2 linked regions of the Kluyveromyces lactis genome follow. Each later gene encodes a partner of the first gene's protein in a complex. Links are inferred from orthologs where the notes say so. Each region holds a gene or a part of one and is shown in the gene's direction. Other genes may lie near its edges. The genes, in order: KLLA0_F03641g and COX6.

What was found.
Region 2: the proteins of KLLA0_F03641g (region 1) and COX6 are in contact, whole or in part, in a cryo-EM structure (PDB 8C8Q), measured with the Schizosaccharomyces pombe proteins. The link is inferred for Kluyveromyces lactis from reciprocal best matches to the Schizosaccharomyces pombe genes cox5 and cox6. Residues at the interface, in NP_588158.2 of Schizosaccharomyces pombe: Gln74, Lys75, Gln76, Pro77, Trp78, Thr79, Ile83, Lys86, Lys87, Ala89, Tyr90, Ala93, Phe94, Arg100; in NP_593931.1 of Schizosaccharomyces pombe: Ala90, Arg91, Asn94, Asp95, Phe96, Pro97, Thr98, Ala99, Val100, Arg101, Glu104, Glu129, Leu130, Gly131, Ile132, Val133, Lys135, Leu138, Phe139.

Annotation. Positions count from the first base shown.
Region 1 is NC_006042.1:342,509-351,459, forward strand, and holds KLLA0_F03641g (cytochrome c oxidase subunit IV family protein), read left to right. Parts: upstream 1-3,746; coding exon 3,747-3,747; intron 3,748-4,251; coding exon 4,252-4,703; downstream 4,704-8,951. Other genes in the region: HOS4 (Hos4p), read left to right, coding at 262-3,144; HPM1 (protein-histidine N-methyltransferase), read left to right, coding at 5,629-6,735; Golgi transport complex subunit COG5, read left to right, coding at 6,913-8,085; KLLA0_F03707g (uncharacterized protein), read right to left, coding at 8,131-8,951. UniProt on the Schizosaccharomyces pombe protein: Component of the cytochrome c oxidase, the last enzyme in the mitochondrial electron transport chain which drives oxidative phosphorylation.
Region 2 is NC_006042.1:2,033,487-2,042,135, reverse strand, and holds COX6 (cytochrome c oxidase subunit VI), read left to right. Parts: upstream 1-5,071; coding exon 5,072-5,515; downstream 5,516-8,649. Other genes in the region: YPP1 (Ypp1p), read right to left, coding at 1-1,985; TMA22 (Tma22p), read right to left, coding at 2,418-3,020; ELF1 (Elf1p), read right to left, coding at 6,453-6,968; CIC1 (Cic1p), read left to right, coding at 7,871-8,649. UniProt on the Schizosaccharomyces pombe protein: Component of the cytochrome c oxidase, the last enzyme in the mitochondrial electron transport chain which drives oxidative phosphorylation.

The DNA of each region.
Region 1 (8,951 bases):
CAAACTATCAAAACGTACCAAGTGATAATTCTGTTCTTAAAAACATTAAACTTTTGAAGGTTTCTAAGTTATGATATAAGGTAAATAAAGCTGGTGACAAGGGAGAATAATGCAAAGAAACCATTAGATAATACTGTCCTCCCACTTATTATACTTCGGACTTTACGTTACTCGAAGGATTCATTCAGAAGAGTGCGAATTATGGAAAATCAGAGGCCATTCATAACTTTCAAACCTTTCTGAAAAAACCGAGTAATAACCATGAGCGAACCTGTCAAAAAAAGAAGCTTGGGCAGTTATCTATCTCGTCTCGAAGAGAGAAGAGAAGAACGAGAAAGATCAGAGCAACAGCAGCGAGAAAGTCCTAAGCCAGTGGGTGAAAATGGGAATTATTCTGTTACCAATGTTCCAGTAAAGGAGGAAGAGGTATCTCAAAAGGTAACTTCAACTGATCAGAACAGTACAAAACAACCATCAGACGAACCCTATGTCGTTAGCCAAGCAAACAGCTCTGACCAGAAAGTTGGATCTCCTTTGAATAATCAAGAGTCAATACCGGTGAGACAAGCGGAAACGAAAGGACCTATTAATGAAATAAAACAGGAAACGGATGTAGAAGAAAAGAAAAATCTACCGAAAGTAGGGAGAAATAAGCATTCTGACGAAGAATATAGTAGTGCACTCAGTGAAGTTGAAAGTGACGCACCGACAGAGCCTGCATCGCCACCAAGACCAAAAATGGGGAGACTAATACGAGGTGATCAACTTGAAAGCGGAAACAACAGTCGACAATCAAGTGCTCCAGTATTGACAAATGATGGGGAATCCGATTCTGATCTTTCCGATTTAGATGAGGCTCGTACAGCTAAAATATCAAGCAGTGCGATTCACGAAGATTCCTCTCCGGTGAAACATTATAATGAACACAAGCGCAAATCCTCTAGTATAGAAAACTCCTCCAATCACAAGAAGCAAAAACATTCTGCCGGGAAAAAGATACCGAAGACTAAGCGTGGAGTACATAGGGATGCCGGAGGCAGGACAAAACTACAAATTGCTTGTGATAAAGGCAAATATGATTTGGCAAAAAAACTTATTGAAGAAGACGGCTATGACGTTAACGACCAAGACAACGCTGGAAATACGCCACTACACGAAGCAGCTCTAAATGGTCATTCAGCAATTGTCGAGTTGCTCGTAAGAAATGGAGCTAATGTTAATATTCAATCATATGATATGTTTCTAGATACGCCTCTTATTGATGCTTCCGCGAATGGCCACATAAATGTTGTAAAATATCTTCTAGATCACGGAGCAGATCCAACAATGGTAAATGCCAAAGGTCTAAGTGCAATTGAATCTATTGAGGAGGAATCAGACATGGATAATGATGATAGAAGAATAGTGCACGATATGAAAGATATGTTAAAGAGAGCAACGAGGAAATATATAAAACATTCCCATCGCACCTTACAGTCTAGTTCCATGTCAAGACATTCAGATGATATAGACAAACAACTCAACCATGATGACGACTTTTATTGGACTGATATCAGTTCAAAATTGGGTAAAAACAAGCTTTTGAAAGCTTCCAAAGAGGGGAAATTAGCATACGTCGGTTCGTACCTTGAAAACGGTGGTAGACCTGATTTCAGATGTTTCCTTGAGAGTTGCATATATGGTCATGATGACGTAGTAAGTTTATTTTTAGCCTTTGGCGCACAAGTTAATATGAGTAACAAAGAAGGTCAAACTCCGTTGATGCTATCTGTCGGGCGTGGACATGTCAACGTCGTGAAACTTTTACTCGAAGCCGGGGCGGATCCACAGAAAACTGACAAACGAAAGAAAACTGCCTTGCATTATGCTAACCACAGCTCTCTTGGTCTAACGGATCCTGATGAAGTGAATTTACTCAAAGCAGCGGTGAGGGCAAAATATGGATACGAAGTTTCAAACAACAGCGATGAAGAGGGGGAGGAAGATTCTGAAGGGAAATCTCCTTCACCTAGAGAAATATCGTCAATTCCATCCACCAAAGGAGAAGAGCAAGATCGTTCTTTGGAAATTCGTAAAGATGATAGTCCTTATCATTCAGAACCACAATCTAAAATCGGAAATATCAATGAGGAAAAGCCAAAATTATTACCTGATTCTCAAACGACAGCAGAAACTGCTTCCCTAGTCAGGCCAAGTCTAGAGAGACTAGACTCAACAAAATCAACATCTTCAACATCATTAACTCATCGTTATAAAAGTGCATCTCCTACACATCAACTATCCACTCCGCCTATTCTTCCGAAAGAAAGCGAAGAAGAGAGAGCCGCAAGGTTGAAGAGCGAAGAAGAGTACAGGCAAAAGAGACTGCAACAGAAGAAAAGGAAAGAACAGGAATTCTTAAACAGATTAGCTGAAGATGAACGGAAGAGAGTAGAAGAGAAGGAGAAATTGAAGCAACAGGAGGAACAGAGGCTAGAACAGGCCAAGAAAGAGGAACTATTAAAAGAAGAAGAACTTCGAAACAGAAACGAAGTAGAAAAAAGATTAAAGATCAGAGAGCGTTATCCAATTGGATTGAGAGTCATTGATTTCAAAGATCTTGAGAATTACGATAAATTTGGGCCTGTGTACTACTTCACTGAAGATGGATCAAAATGGGTGCTAGATCTTCAAATAAGTGTCATTATCAAATCCAGCACCGAAGAGTTAAAGAAACAATCATCAGAATTTAAAGAAGTGGAAAAGGGTCAGTACCCACAACTATGGAATCTTTTCAAATTCATCTTCTTATATGGCGGCAGCGATAATGCAAACAACTCGAAGTCCTTGCCCTGGAGGCAATTGTCGGAAATTGACCAAACAGAGTATGTAAAATTCTATGAACTCCCACTAACATGGATTAAACTATCGCGATTGAACCTGCAAGATTTAAACCCAAAGATGAATGACTGGATTGAAAAAAATATGATAGAATTTATCCCGGCATCTACATCTGCCTTGTACAGAACAAGAAAGGTCCTTTTACGTGATAGCAAAAGACCTGGCCAAAACGAAAATAATGCTAACACACGCTTTGTCCCTGCCAAATATCAATCACGCTCCAAAATGTTACCATGGTTGAATGCCTCCAAAGCGCTTTGGTAGGGTCATTATACATAGCATAAGAAGCTTAACACTGTAACAATACATAAGAAAAGATAGAAGAAGAACGTCTTCCTCGGAAAATAGAAGTCACGTGGATTTTATATACACGTGACTCGGACCTTTGCAGATGATTTTCCACGCCCTTCATTCATCACTTCCCCAACCCGTACTATGCGACTGTCTTTCCGGGAACATGATTGGCCAGAGTCTGATTTAGTAACGTTAAATCCGAAAAAAAGTTCCATCTCGTATGAAATGACCTAAAACACACCATCATATCATAAACCTTCGATTCTCCTTCGAGATAAACAATAGAGTAGAAAAAAAAACTGTTACCAGCCATTTTTCTTCGAAGCGTTTTCTTGTTAGCGTTTTTTTTTTCGGCCCACTTCCGTTGGTGCTATTCACCTTTTATAATGGAGAAACATGAAAAAAAAAGCTGTAAATTTTTCATATAATTTAAATAAAAGATAAAATATAAAGCTGATTTTAGCTAGTTTCACAGATTTGAACATTGTTTTGGTATAGTTTCTCTAATTTATTCCAAGGGTTTTCTTGTTTGATATTAGTATTCACAACTAGCGGCCAAAGATTTTATAAAGAGTATGTGCACCGTAAGACGTAACATAATCAGGGGATTGCGAATGGGAATTTTCAATAAGGAACAAATGCGAACTGGAGTTTCCGGAGATAATGGATAAAATCATAAGAAGAACGATTTAAGAGATGTTCTAATTATCATCCCGATGAATAAGGTGGTATAGTCATACCTGATCAGGTTTAAAGTTTTAAATGGATTGGTTGTTTTTTAGTGGATTTGGTTCCTATAAGGGTTTTTATCCATTATCTGTATTTGGTCATGGAGAAAGAAATGGCATTTTGAGAATTCAACATAATAATGATTGTAACTCAGCTGTAAAAGAAGGGATCATGTTTTTCAAGACCAGAATTGATATTTAAACTCTTACTTATTCCACTTGCAATTATCGTCTGATTTTTTTCAGTACAAAGAATCTTATTTTTACTAACAACGATTAAACTGGAAAATGATGGGAAAAATATGTTTTTTCCTTATTGAATCATTTTCAATGTTATTATTACCAACAGTGTTGCGTTCCTCCGTTTCTAGAGTTGCCCGTGTCACTCCTGTCAGATTTGCTCAAACACAAGCCCTATCTAAGGCATCTATCGTCGATTTACCAAACAGATGGGAAGACTTGCCAGCTACTGAACAACAAGATATTGTCCTAAAGCTAGCTGAACGTCAAAAGCTACCATGGACTGAGTTGACTAATGTTGAAAAGCAAGCTGCTTGGTACATTTCTTACGGTGCTTGGGGTCCAAGAAGACCAGTGCACGGTAAGGGTGATGCTGCTTTCATTGCCAAGGGTGTTGCTGCTGGTTTGATTGCCTCTTTGCTAATCTTCGCTGGTATAAGACAACTATCTGGTGATCCACCAAAGACTATGACCAAGGAATGGCAATTAAAGTCTGATGAATATTTGAAGTCCAAGAATGCTAACCCATGGGGTGGTTACTCTCAAGTTCAATCCAAATAATTGTGATTTCTTCTACAGTATAGAATGCATTTTCTCCCTCTCTTCTATTCAGTTTATTTCTATTCTCTACAAACAACAAGAACAAAAAAAAGACACACAGTCGATACTCACCTTCATGATATAGGAGAAGTTCAAACTCTTTCTATTTCCAACTTTTTGAATGGGTTGCGGGTTTTTTTGCGTTTTGTTGAAATTGCAAAACAAGAGCTTTCTTCGGAAGCCTAAACTTGTCCTTTCGCCGTGATTTTGAGAACCACCACACGTTAGAGAATCGAATTTATTTAATATTATTTTATTAACGAAGAATAACATATCCTTCTATCACCATTAAATTAATTCACAATTAAGAATAAAAATCATACCAAACATTTGAATTTGAACCCTATGAAATAGGACTTCTTAGTATCAACATCAAGTTTTAAAAAAATTGAATCCAAAAATTTACACAAACAATATCCAAAGCCAAAAATTAATGATTTATAAACGGACACTTATTTAAATTTGAGAATCATTTCACGTATTCTCTTTACGTTTCATTTATTTTATCGAAATCAATTAAATACATTATTCTATCATTCTGAATTCGAGAATTCTTTTCTTATCCAGGAAAGATTCATTAACATTCTCACTTCGAACTATCAATCCAACAGAAAACCCTTAGCTATTTAAATTTGACTAGAGAAAGGCTGTTTCAAAGTTATAAGCATTTCAACGCACGGTATGTAACAGGCCGTTTATTCTACTAGCATCTGGCTCAAAGCTTGAGAAGGACGATCGCTGACAGGATCACAAACAGGAAACGAAAAGAAAAAATTGAAAATGAAAAATTCAATACAGAAAGCGCATCTCATCTCAACGCATATATTTGGCCAATAGAGGAAATTACTTACAGAGGAAGACACATGTCCTCATAACCCCGATAATAATGTCCTTTGCATTTGGCTTCTCTAACGAAGATTTCAGTGATGATGAACTAGATATTGCCAATCAAAATACAGATGATAAGCCATCTACTTCTGTCCCTCGAATCAATCCATTGGATTCCGAAGTGTTACTAGGAGAATCAGTGAATCAACCCAAATATATTGATCTGGATGATCTACTACGTTCACTCGCGAATGTCCGTCTATCTTTTGAAGAAGTGCAAACTCCAACAACAAACTCTGTTCTTTACAGACGTGAACTATTTGACGTTAAACATCAATTGATGTCAGAAGTGGATTCAGGCACAAATAATGTTGAATTGGAGATTTTGATGGGTGAAACCAATGAAGATTTGAGGAGAAATGTGTACGAAGGTGGTTTGAAATCATGGGAATGTTCAATAGATCTAGTAGACTCATTTGTTAAAAATCCAGCACAAATTTCCCAGTGTCAAAATATAATAGAGCTAGGATGTGGGACGTCGCTTCCATCGGAATTTCTTTTTATGGAATATCTAAGATCCAACATCAATACCGGGATTAATTTCACATTATGTGACTATAATGAAAGTGTGATTAGATTGGTATCCATTCCAAATTTGATCGTATCCTGGGCGAAAACTGTGATCAGTAATGAACAATGGATAGAGCTACAAGCTTCTGAAGATTCGAACATCCCAATCGCCTCTGATGAATTACTTCTGACAGAAAAATTACTTGAAGCTTTCAAGTCTGATTTAGAATTTAGAAATGTATCGTTTTCGTTCATTTCAGGTTCTTGGGGAAGGAAATTCATGGATGTTTTAATTGAACACAAGGCTACCCCGTTATCAAACACCTTAATATTAACCGCAGAAACTATATATCAGCCTGATACGCTCCCGGTTATATCAGAAACCTTAATTGAGCTAATCGTGGATAACAAAAAGAACTCATACCCGGTGAAATGCCTGCTTGCAGCAAAAGACATATATTTCGGCGTTGGGGGCAGCATAGTGGATTTTGAAAACTATATCGCCAAAAGGATAGCAACCGATAACCTTCCATTATGTTTAAATAAATTTAAGGTAAATGCTGGATTGAAAAGATCAATTGTACTAATAGAGTGAATCGCCACGTATGACTCTTTTTAAGGCTTGATCATCAATCACGTGATCAAAATCACTTTGTCGACATTGTCAGATTCATATAATATCGTGTAATTCAATCTTTAAATATAGCTTGCATTAAGCGAATGAGCATCAGCTGTACTATAAGGAGATAACTACTGTACTTAGAACCCCAGAATGGCTCAGAACGATCCACTTCAAGGCTTTGAGGATTTTCTCGAGGCTGATTTTCAGCCATTGCGCTTTGCAAACGATCTATTAAAAGTTACAAATAATGGCACAGATACGGATGTCTTGGACCTGAAGACGTGTGTGAAGAGATGCTCGTATGATCTCCAAGAATTAGACAGAAGAATTGAAGGTGCTATCAAGACCAACCCAAGCCATGTGCTAGAACAAATTGAGAAGAGAAAGAAGGAAAAAAGCTTTGTAGGAGATACTCTCAAATCAAACACGGAATATTTGTCTATGTCGTACAACAGATTACAACAAGACATCTTAGAGCCATTTGAAAGGGCACTTAAACTGCAGACAGTTTCTAGTAAAATTCATCAAACTACAACATTACTGAGAAGTTCCTTAATATATGTGCACATGATATCTCAGTTGCAAATGATGCCATTAGAGACAGACTCTACTGATGATGAGCAACTAGCATGCGGGTTAAAAATAGCTGCCTTACATTCACAATTGAAGATTAATATTGAACAAAATCCCAACCTGGCAACTTTGCAGCTGATAAAATCATGCGAGAACAATGTGGTTTCTCCAAATCGACAGGAATTATTGCGATATCTTTCCACCAATTTGACAAGGGATTGTCTAAACAATCTCAAGATGGAAAACAACCCTAAGAGAATTGTGACTTTAATCAAAGCATTGTATACTTTATCTCCAGTAGATCTTTTTGATACAATTGACAAAGTACTCAGTTCAAAAATTCAAACGACGGCTCAAGTGCTATCTAAGACCATCACATCCATTAGAAACTTCAACCTGTCATTAGATGATGCCATGGAAAATAGAAACTCGATACTCACTTTACAGAACTTAATGGAAGAATGTGAGATTGAAGGAAATACGAACACTCTTCGCAATTACCTATCTCAAAGGAAATTTTCCTCGTTGATCGATCAATTTTGGTCAAAAGTCACTAATAGTTTCAAAAGAGATTTCGAAATGTCCTACAATCGCGGTGGACCTGTCGGGAAATCTCTGCAAAGCAATTCCAATCTAATATATGAAGCCATTAGTAAATGCTTCGGTGAAAATGACCCTAGTAATGAACTACAAGGCGAACTGCAGTATATCTTGAAAGCCGTTAGTATATTAGATACAAACAGGAAATAAAAATCAGGCTTATATTTGTATATATAGAGTAACAAGACTGGTCCTTTATGGTTTAGCCTTCGCCTTACTTATAGCACCTGCATCTGCAAGGGGGTTCGTAGCCTTCTTTTTGTTTTTCTTTCCCCCACGCTTATGGAACTTCTTCTTTAGTAGCTTCTTTATCTCTGAATCTCTTTGCTTCCTCAGATCTTCTCTCTCTTTACCGTGTAATCTTGCCATTCTCTGCCTTTTACCTGGCCTTTTTCTCCGTAAATGCCTGATACGAACCTGCTCTGTGTGGACTTTACGATTATGCTCATCTACATCTATTACTTTTCCTCTGAACTGAAGCCATCCGGGATACGGTCCCAGCTCAGCATATTTTAATATTACATCTGCAGACACTGCGGCTGCAGAAAAGTTATGTCTGTCCTGCTCTGAATATTCTGCACAGTAATACGTTCTTGCTCTACCTATTGGAGCTGAGTCTGGACTCGGTTCACGAAGGCTGACCTTTATTAGGGCCGTTGCCTTTCTACCTCTGTTTTCATCTGTCTGTACACTTTCGCCAACATCATTCGCGGGGGTTGTTGAATCGGTAATGGTTCCAAAAGAGAATAGTGGGAATTCAAACTCTTCTGCGGAATTGTTAACATCCGATTCATCATTTCTGTCCGACTTTATATTGTCTTCTTGTTGAGTTTGAACGTCGACGAATTCTAGATCAAGCTTCGGCAGCACTACACGATCATCAGTCGCTGTAACGTTAGTCGTGGTATCAAAGAGCTCATTTCTCGAAACAACTCTCAAACCAGACATGATTGATTTGTTGAGCTTTGCAAGGTGTTCCTGAGATGATGATGAAAAGATACGCAGATTACATCTCA
Region 2 (8,649 bases), about 1.7 Mb from region 1:
AATAAGAACTTAAGTCTGGCTACAGCAGAAGAAGTTTCGAGTGACGTGGCAGAATTTCTATGTAGCTCCTTTTGGTTTATTTTGGAGTTATGCTTGAGATCCGTATCCAGGTTTGCCTCTTCATCAGGAAGCACGATTTTTGCCAAACCGATCAATGCCTCGACAGATGTAGAGTCATAGTGCAAAACTTTTTCGAATTCCGCTGTCGCTTTTTCAGAGTGACCATGTGTATACAACACGAATCCTTGTGCGAGGTTGTGGTTCAAATTAACATATTTTGAAGTTACGTTCTTAAACTCATCTAACGCAGCCTTTACATTTTCGATATCGTCATTTTCCAGGTATAATTCCAATGCAAACAACCAAATCTTCTGCAATAGATAGTCGTTACTCTGATTGATTTGAGGACCAAGGGGTTCTGAAGCATCTGAAAAGAGACGCTGATAAAGTTCGAATACCTCTGGCAAAATTTCAAGTGCATCTTCAAGTGCAAACATGTCTCTAACTAGTTGAAGTTGAGTTAATTTAATGTGAATAAACTGCCATTTTTCATCAATTGTGAATTGCCTGCCTTCATCGAAAAGTTCACACATTGATTGAATGACAGAATTGATAATTTTGAAACTTACTTGTAAATCTTCATTGATGCAGGATTCACATAACGCAAGAAGATGCCAACTAGCGAAATGTTCTGGATGAAGTGTTAATATTTGTTTTTTTAGATAAGCGATGCATTGGTCAATTTGTCTTAATGTAGCCAAATGATAAGCGAACTTAAACTTTAATGACACAGAAGCGTTCAAAGACGTTTGCAAAGAATTCGATAGGTAAAATATCTGACTGTGATCTACCAAGGCTGGGAGAGAAGAAGCGCTAGTTTCGTATAACGTTTCCCATGAACTGGATAGAACAGAAGCTGTTGATGAGGCTAGACATAAGTCCAATACATCTGAGCTGCCTTCTAGTGCCTTTTGTTTTTCTATAATAGGGATACTGTACTTGTTGTGAATTCTTTCTAGCAACTTTAAGAAATCGGATGATACGTTTGCTGGCATGAAGAACGGTTCAAATGGCGTTTTACATGTAGACAGAATGAATTGGTACGATGAAACTAAGTCTAATAAGTCAGGATACCTTTTGTTAAGTTCGTAATATTTGTTTGAATAATTGACCAAATTGGTAAAGTTTAGAATGCTCCTCTTTAGATCGACCTTTCGATAAAAGAGCATTGCTGATTTTGCAACCGAAATACTTTGGAAACTTTTTTCCATACTATCAATGATAAATTGCTCCCATTCTTTCTTCACATTTAAATTATTTATTTTGAGATGCTCTTGTAGGACCATGTGGAATTGTTCTAGTTCAAAATTATTTGATTCATCAGCATTAGGGAAACGACTTTTCTTCAATAATGAATGGCTATAAGATAGAAGATTTGAGTCAGTTGCAGAACCATTAAGGGTCAAAAGCATCCATTGGAATGGTGTTTTTGGCTTAAAATGAGAGAGGTCCAGCCCTTTTATTATTGCCTGCAAATAATGCCAAGTTAAGCCATCAGAATATTTCGGAATAGTCCAGCTTTCAGAGGAAAACTCAGCTAAGTCGACATTTCCCTTATAAAATAGCCTTTCCAAATCTAGCATTCTTCCAAATCTATCGTATCCATTAACGCTGCCTAACTTCTTAGAGACGTACTGCAACCCCTTTTCCTTTTCATCAAGTTCACAGAAAACAATACCATAGATATTGTCCGCAATTGCACAGTGTAATTCATCCTTTAGAACGGGCAACTTCTCCACTTCAGATAAAAGGGCCGACAGTGCACTGAATTTTGTCTTTGTAGAAATGTTTATGTGATAATGGGCTCTATAATGAAGAGATAATAATTGATCCAGCAAAGCATCTGACGATTGAAAAACGCTTGAACCAATTAGTCGAGAATCTAAAGCATGATTCACCGAATCATCAATGTATCCTCTGGTCATAGTACAATTGACTTCCGAATGCTTCCGTGATTCAACCAATTGGTAAGCAAATACAAGAGTGCTCAGTGTATTACTCAAGGCTCTTTCTCTTGTTTACTCTCTGTGCTCGGTGAAAATAGCTTTTAGTTTATTTTACATTTTGACATGTTTCCTCACCATCTAACGGTGCATAATGGAAGTGGAAGTGAAGAAAAAGTGATCTTACCCGGATATTCTTTTGTAAGGTATTGCCCTTCCTCACCATGGGAGTATATTTATGGGAACCTAATAGCTACTACAGTTATTATATATGAGGGTATAGATATAGCATCTTACTGATGTTTAATTGTGCAGTTTGTTGAACGATGAATGCGGTATTATATAAATCTTTCTACCTAAGAGGCTAACATAAAGTTATGACAAAAGGGTGTCAGCTAAATGTGCTTCTCATAATCATTTCTTATTTTCGGATCCTGGTGTAGTTGTAGTTTCAGCTTTTTTCTTCTTCTTCGCGGCATCGATTACTTCTACCTTAACTTCTTTCATACCTTTTTCCTCTAGTAAAGAATGTATATATGCTTCTACTTCATCTGCCAAATCACCTTGAACAATCACTTCTTCTTTCTTCTCGGCATTTTTGGAGATAGAACAACCTGTAGCAAATTTGGATGCAAAAGTTTTGGAAAGTTTCTTCATGTCAATTTCGAAAACTTCTAGTCCAGAGATAGCAATCATACACTTCCGTTTTGTTCTTGCTTCTCTTCTGATCACAACTTTAGACGATAATTTCTTAGCCAATTCTCTTTCCTCTCTAGCCTGTTGTTTTCTTTCTAGTTTCTCTAGGGCCTTTTCAAGCTTCTCCTCTCTTTCATCACCAATAGATGATTCTGCCAATTGTTTAGACACATCTTCAGTGACATCGCCATACCATTTGGTGTACAATTCTGGGTGGTTTTCTTGTAACCAAGCTTTACAACGTTTGAATTTACCGGAAAATTCACAGTATTCAGCAGGAAAGTCACACACACCACAGTATATAACGTTAGTGAGAGGCATTCTGTATATTCTTCTGTCTCTTTAATTAATTCTAACGTATAAATCTCAAACTGAATCAAGCGTAACTTAATTACACGTAATGTTATTCTGAACACACCTCATCTCATGCATTAGTGATTTTCTGTTTCAATATTTTTTTCAATATTTCACTGTAAAGATCGATTCACTTTCTTCAGTAACTACGTAATCTACTACTTACATATACTAAGTGTTTACTTAGACATGCACAAATAGCGGCGAACTTTGGTTACACTCACACTGAATACACTTCTTTGGAATGGCAACGTATGATGATTTTGCTACTGATACTGTAATAATAACGTCAAAGACAAAGGACGTGTGCTCCAAGCCCTTGTTTGATGAGATCGTAAATAAGGTGCAAGAATGTGTGGTGGATACTCGACAGATTTACGGTGCGGATGCCGTGCGTGTCATTACACTTCCTGGATTCAAGAGAATATTGGTAACATCGCCTAATATTGAGGCGAGCCGTGAAGTGAAATCCTTGAACCCATTATTCCCTGATTGTAAATTTGGGTTCTCCATCACGAATCACGTGGCTGAATCGAATTCACAAGCTGGATTTCCACACGCTGGCGCTGACACTGTGATGAATCACCTTAAAGTTCCCCCTGCCCAGACATTATTTCTAGTGTCTCCGCCAGCGTCACCTCCTCCGGGATTTGATTACTCTAGGCTTGAAGAATGGCCTAATCGTAACACGGGACATGAAGAGGCTGGTGCAGGTATCGACGATGATTCAAAACCTGCTGTTCGAAAAGTGTTTGACAATGGACATACCCGAATAATAGTTGAGGGGTCTACAAACTCTGAACCAAACCATACGGCTTTGATGCAACATATCAAGACCGCGATGCCACCTATCTCAACGTTTGACGATATAGAGGATTAACTATCGCGTTTAGAGACATAATAACCCGCAGTTTTCTGCGGAGATGAGGGATCGAACAGGGGAACCTGCCTACCGAGAAAAAAAAAACCTTTGAAACCACGCGACTTCCGGGTAATTGTATTTGTATTGAAGTCACGTTCTCCCGCTGTCCTATTACCCGACTATGTGGTAAAAATCATCGGTGACGAACCAATCATATGCCAATACGTTCTCCTTCCCCACAAACAAGACACCCTACAGAACGGTCGGACCAGTCTCAATCAATGCCCATTACCCCCCAGCATATTTCACGAATGTGTTTTATTGGATTCTATAGATACTGCTTGTGGGGTTTATTATCACGGACTTATTATCTTGTTTTATAGGACATTATTTCGAAGATTATGAGAGTTAAGGTTTCATTTCCTTTGAACATGAGATCTTTAATCTGACATCGCTCGACTGAAAAATGACAGGCAGCAGAAAGTCAAGAAATACTCAATTCAAATAATTAAAATCGAACTAGATAAACGACTTGCTCGTAAGTACCACATGTAGGATTTTTTGGAGTGTGAACTTTTGTTGCAACTCTGCCGATGAATTATGTTAGCCCTCTTTTTTTCTTCCATCCATTTTCCATAGACACACTATTTAAAAAACTGATAATACCACTTTTTTGTAAACTACTAAGAAGATGATGCATACAAAGAATAAGATACAATAAAAGTTGTTTCGAATGGAACGACTCACTCGAGGTTCAAATTTGTGCTATTCGTTTCGCAAGTTATTACTCTTACTTTCCTTTTAACAATCTCGTTTTTATCTAGTTCAAAGACGTAGCTATCCACTAGTTTAAGTATTTGAACTGTTTGTTGATATTTGTCCTATGCGATTTTAAGTATTTAATTTTTTTTTTTTCATTCTTCATTACTTCAAATTTTTAAAAAAACTCCAGAGAAAATTATCGGTCGATTTACCTTTTACCTAACCTATTTGATATATCTTTAAAGCGTTTTACATTAAGTTTTAATTACAATAGAACTCGACTTTGAATCTTTTGTGAATACGGTTTGTTATAATTCCTTTTAGAATAGCTATTTGATCATCTTAATACAGTGAATCAAATCCAAATCCCGAATCAACCAATACAAAGAAAAATATGTTGTCCAGAACTTTGTTGAGAGCTGCTATGCCAGTAAGAGCCGTTGCTCCGGTTATGATGAGAGCTGCTGTTGCCCCAAGAGTTGGTCAATTACAATCTCAATTTGTTTCTATCAGAAAGTACTCCGATGCACACGAAGAAGAAACCTTTGAAGAATTCACCGCCAGATACGAAAAGGAATTCGAAGAGGCTTACGATTTATTCGAAGTCCAAAGAGTGTTGAATAACTGTTTCTCTTACGATTTGGTTCCAGCCCCAGCTGTTATCGAAAAGGCCTTGAGAGCCGCCAGAAAGGTTAACGACTTGCCAACTGCTGTCAGAGTGTTCGAAGCCTTGAGATACAAAGTTGAAAACGAAGATCAATACAAGGCTTACTTGGATGAATTGAAGGATGTTAGAGAAGAATTGGGAATTCCTTTGAAGGAGGAATTGTTCCAATAAGTGCATATAGAAGAACATTTAATCTAAAGTCACCGGCTTTATCATCTTCTCCCATACTATTTTCACTTTTTGAGAACCTTTCACTAGGAAGGAAAGAACAATACTTATCCACAACACCAACAACCAAATGAAACCAAAATAAATATCATCAAAAACTATATTTACGAACGTGTCCCATCCTATGACACCATATATTCTTGTCACACATTTGTTTGTTTGAGGAGGTTTTTTTGGTGCTGACTACTGGTAGTAGCAGATACGAAGACATTATTTATTTGCCAGGACATATACAGAACCGTGAATACAAACCTTCAAGAAACATTTACAAACAATTCAAATAAAATCAAGATTATTATTATTATTATTATTATCATCATCATCACAATTATTATAATTATATATATGTTATACTGACTAAATTATAAGGAAAAGTAGTTATATATCAAACAAACAGCTATTAACATACGCGTTTAGTCTATTTAGCGGTAGACAGAAAAATGTGCTCTTTTGTTTTCACTTGATCGTATGTTAGGTTATTGCACCGTTACGAGCAGAAGTAATTTTATCTTGTTTGAATTCATACAACTGAAGTTTTCGAGTTTTGTTATCTCGTGTATCACCATCTAGTTCAGAAATAATGCCACATTACTGAGAAGTTCGATATACCAAAGATACTATTATTGATGTAGAATTGATATATAAATTCTTCTGCAGTACAAACTGAATACTATCAACCGATGGTTAAAGCCAAGGTGAGCGTTATATAAATTCTTATAGGAAACAGATAAGATCCAGCAATCTCTTTGAACGTAAATATCAGCTCCTTTATACCTGATTTTATTCGTTCTACTAGTATATCTCTGGGTAATATATAGATAGATAGATACAATTGTAAGATTAATATTGGTGTTCGATGTCTGTGTTTCTGTCGGTTCGACTACTCGTCATCACTGTCCATCCATGCTGCTCTTCCTCTTTTGTTAGATATTTTACCGTCATCGTCTGAGTCTGATTCTGGTTCTGAGTCTTTTCGTTCGGTCGCTCCTTTTCTTCCGTAATCCGCATCTTCGTCTTCTTCTTGTTCTTCTTCTTCTTCTTCGTCAGAATCTATTCCAACAGCTTTTCTACGGTTTGAAGAAGGCTCAGTATCAGAGTCACTCTCGTAGTCACTGTCACTGTTTTCATCTTCAGATTCGCTATGTTTCCCTTCGTTAACTTCCTCAACCGCATCAAACCAGTCACTATATACATCTACCGGTTGTGATAGACCATTAATGCGGGTTTGGAACGATTGTCCACAAATCTTACAATGAAGCGAGCCAATGTTATTCTTTTTGTCCATTGTTACGCTCACAGAGCGTTCGTGATTACAGAAGAGACAATTGAATGCCGTATCTAACCTCTGTACTATCTTCTTGGCTGGACCTCTGGATGACTTCTTTCTCTTACCCATGTCTAATGCTCTTCTTATTTGTCTTGTGAGAGCGTATGCTTACCCCTGCGGCTAGATTTGATTAATATATGCTAATATGCCTTTTGCAGTATAAATGAACGGGGACGATGACTATGTTTACGATATAATAATAATAATAATAATAATAGCAACTTAATAACTCATAAATCAGATTCGTGCGGCGTATTCTCTGTTAAGGTATCCTTTATATCGATCGTGAGTCCTGTTTGACAGCCGAAAAAACCTAACTCAAAAATAGTACTGTTCCGAAATAAACCAGAGAAAGAAACCCTAAAATACACAGTTTAAGCCCTTTTGTATTGTAACCCCATTCACTGAACGTAGCCCGTTGCTCATTAGTAACTTTTGCACAAACACGCACCGAGATTCAATATCAGATTCGGTTACTCTTTATTTCTTAAGTGTCAAATGTTATCAAATTTCAAGAAAAGTTTCAAATCATATATTACGGCCTTCGCTTTCAAAAAGCAATATTTACTAACTACGTGAACACAGTGGAGCTCCTGCGAAACAGAAAATTTTTATTTTTGACAATAGAGAGCTCATCTCATCATAGCTCATCTCATCTCATCTCGAAGTATGTTGCACACCTAACACGATTAATAAAGTAATGGTATGTAAAGTATTTAAGTACCTATTCTTATTTCTCAGCTCAAAGGATTGATTAGATATATACTGGATATTTCATAGTTGCCAGTACGAACTCGAGAAGTAAGCTTACCTAGGTGAACCAACAATTTGTTGATCTTTTTCTGAGACAGTGCGAATCAAGTAAGTTAAAAAACGCTTGGAAAGAATCCAGAATATAGAGGAAATAACTCCACTCATCCAGTCTAGTATATCTACAAGCACATTATAAGCAATATCAAAGTTTAGATAATATGGCAACTAAAACTAAGAAAAGCAAGGTTTCGACCAAAGCCACCAAGGCTACTAAGGGCAGTAAAGAGGAAGAAGTCATTCCAGTTAACAGAGTTAACAATGCTGTTATTAAATTGCAAGAATATTTGAAGGAAAATGGATCAAATGACAATCAGTTAATTGATGATTCTGAATTGGAGGCTCAGCTACAGTTGATCCTAGTCAACACTGAATCTTTTACTGGTTCTTTGAAAAACTTCAAACCAAAACTAATTACAGTTCCTCATTCTATCTTCAAGCCATGGAAGGAAGCTAGCACCACCATGGTTAAAGATTTCAAGACTCTTTTGATTCTAAAAGATTCTGATATCAATTCAGTGACATCAGAAGACTTGATCGATCTACTTCCAGAACATATTACTATTGATGCCATCATATCTGGTAAAGATTTGAAGACAAAATACAAGGCTTTTGAAAAGAGGCGTGCATTTGTACAGGATTTTTCTTTCATTCTAGCTGATGACTCGATAGTGACAGCTTTGCCCAAGCTATTAGGTGGTAAAGCATACAGTAAGTTGAATACCACTCCAATTGCCATTAACACAAGATCGGATAACAAGTTTAACAAGACAACTTTGGTAAATAGCATCAAGAGAATTTATGATACTAAAATCCCAGTCAAACTTCCAAGAGGTAACACGATGAATGTTCATCTAGGTTCATTGGAATGGTTCACCCCAGAACAATTGACTGAAAATATCATTTCTGTCGCTAAACAGTTCATCGAAAAGTACAATAT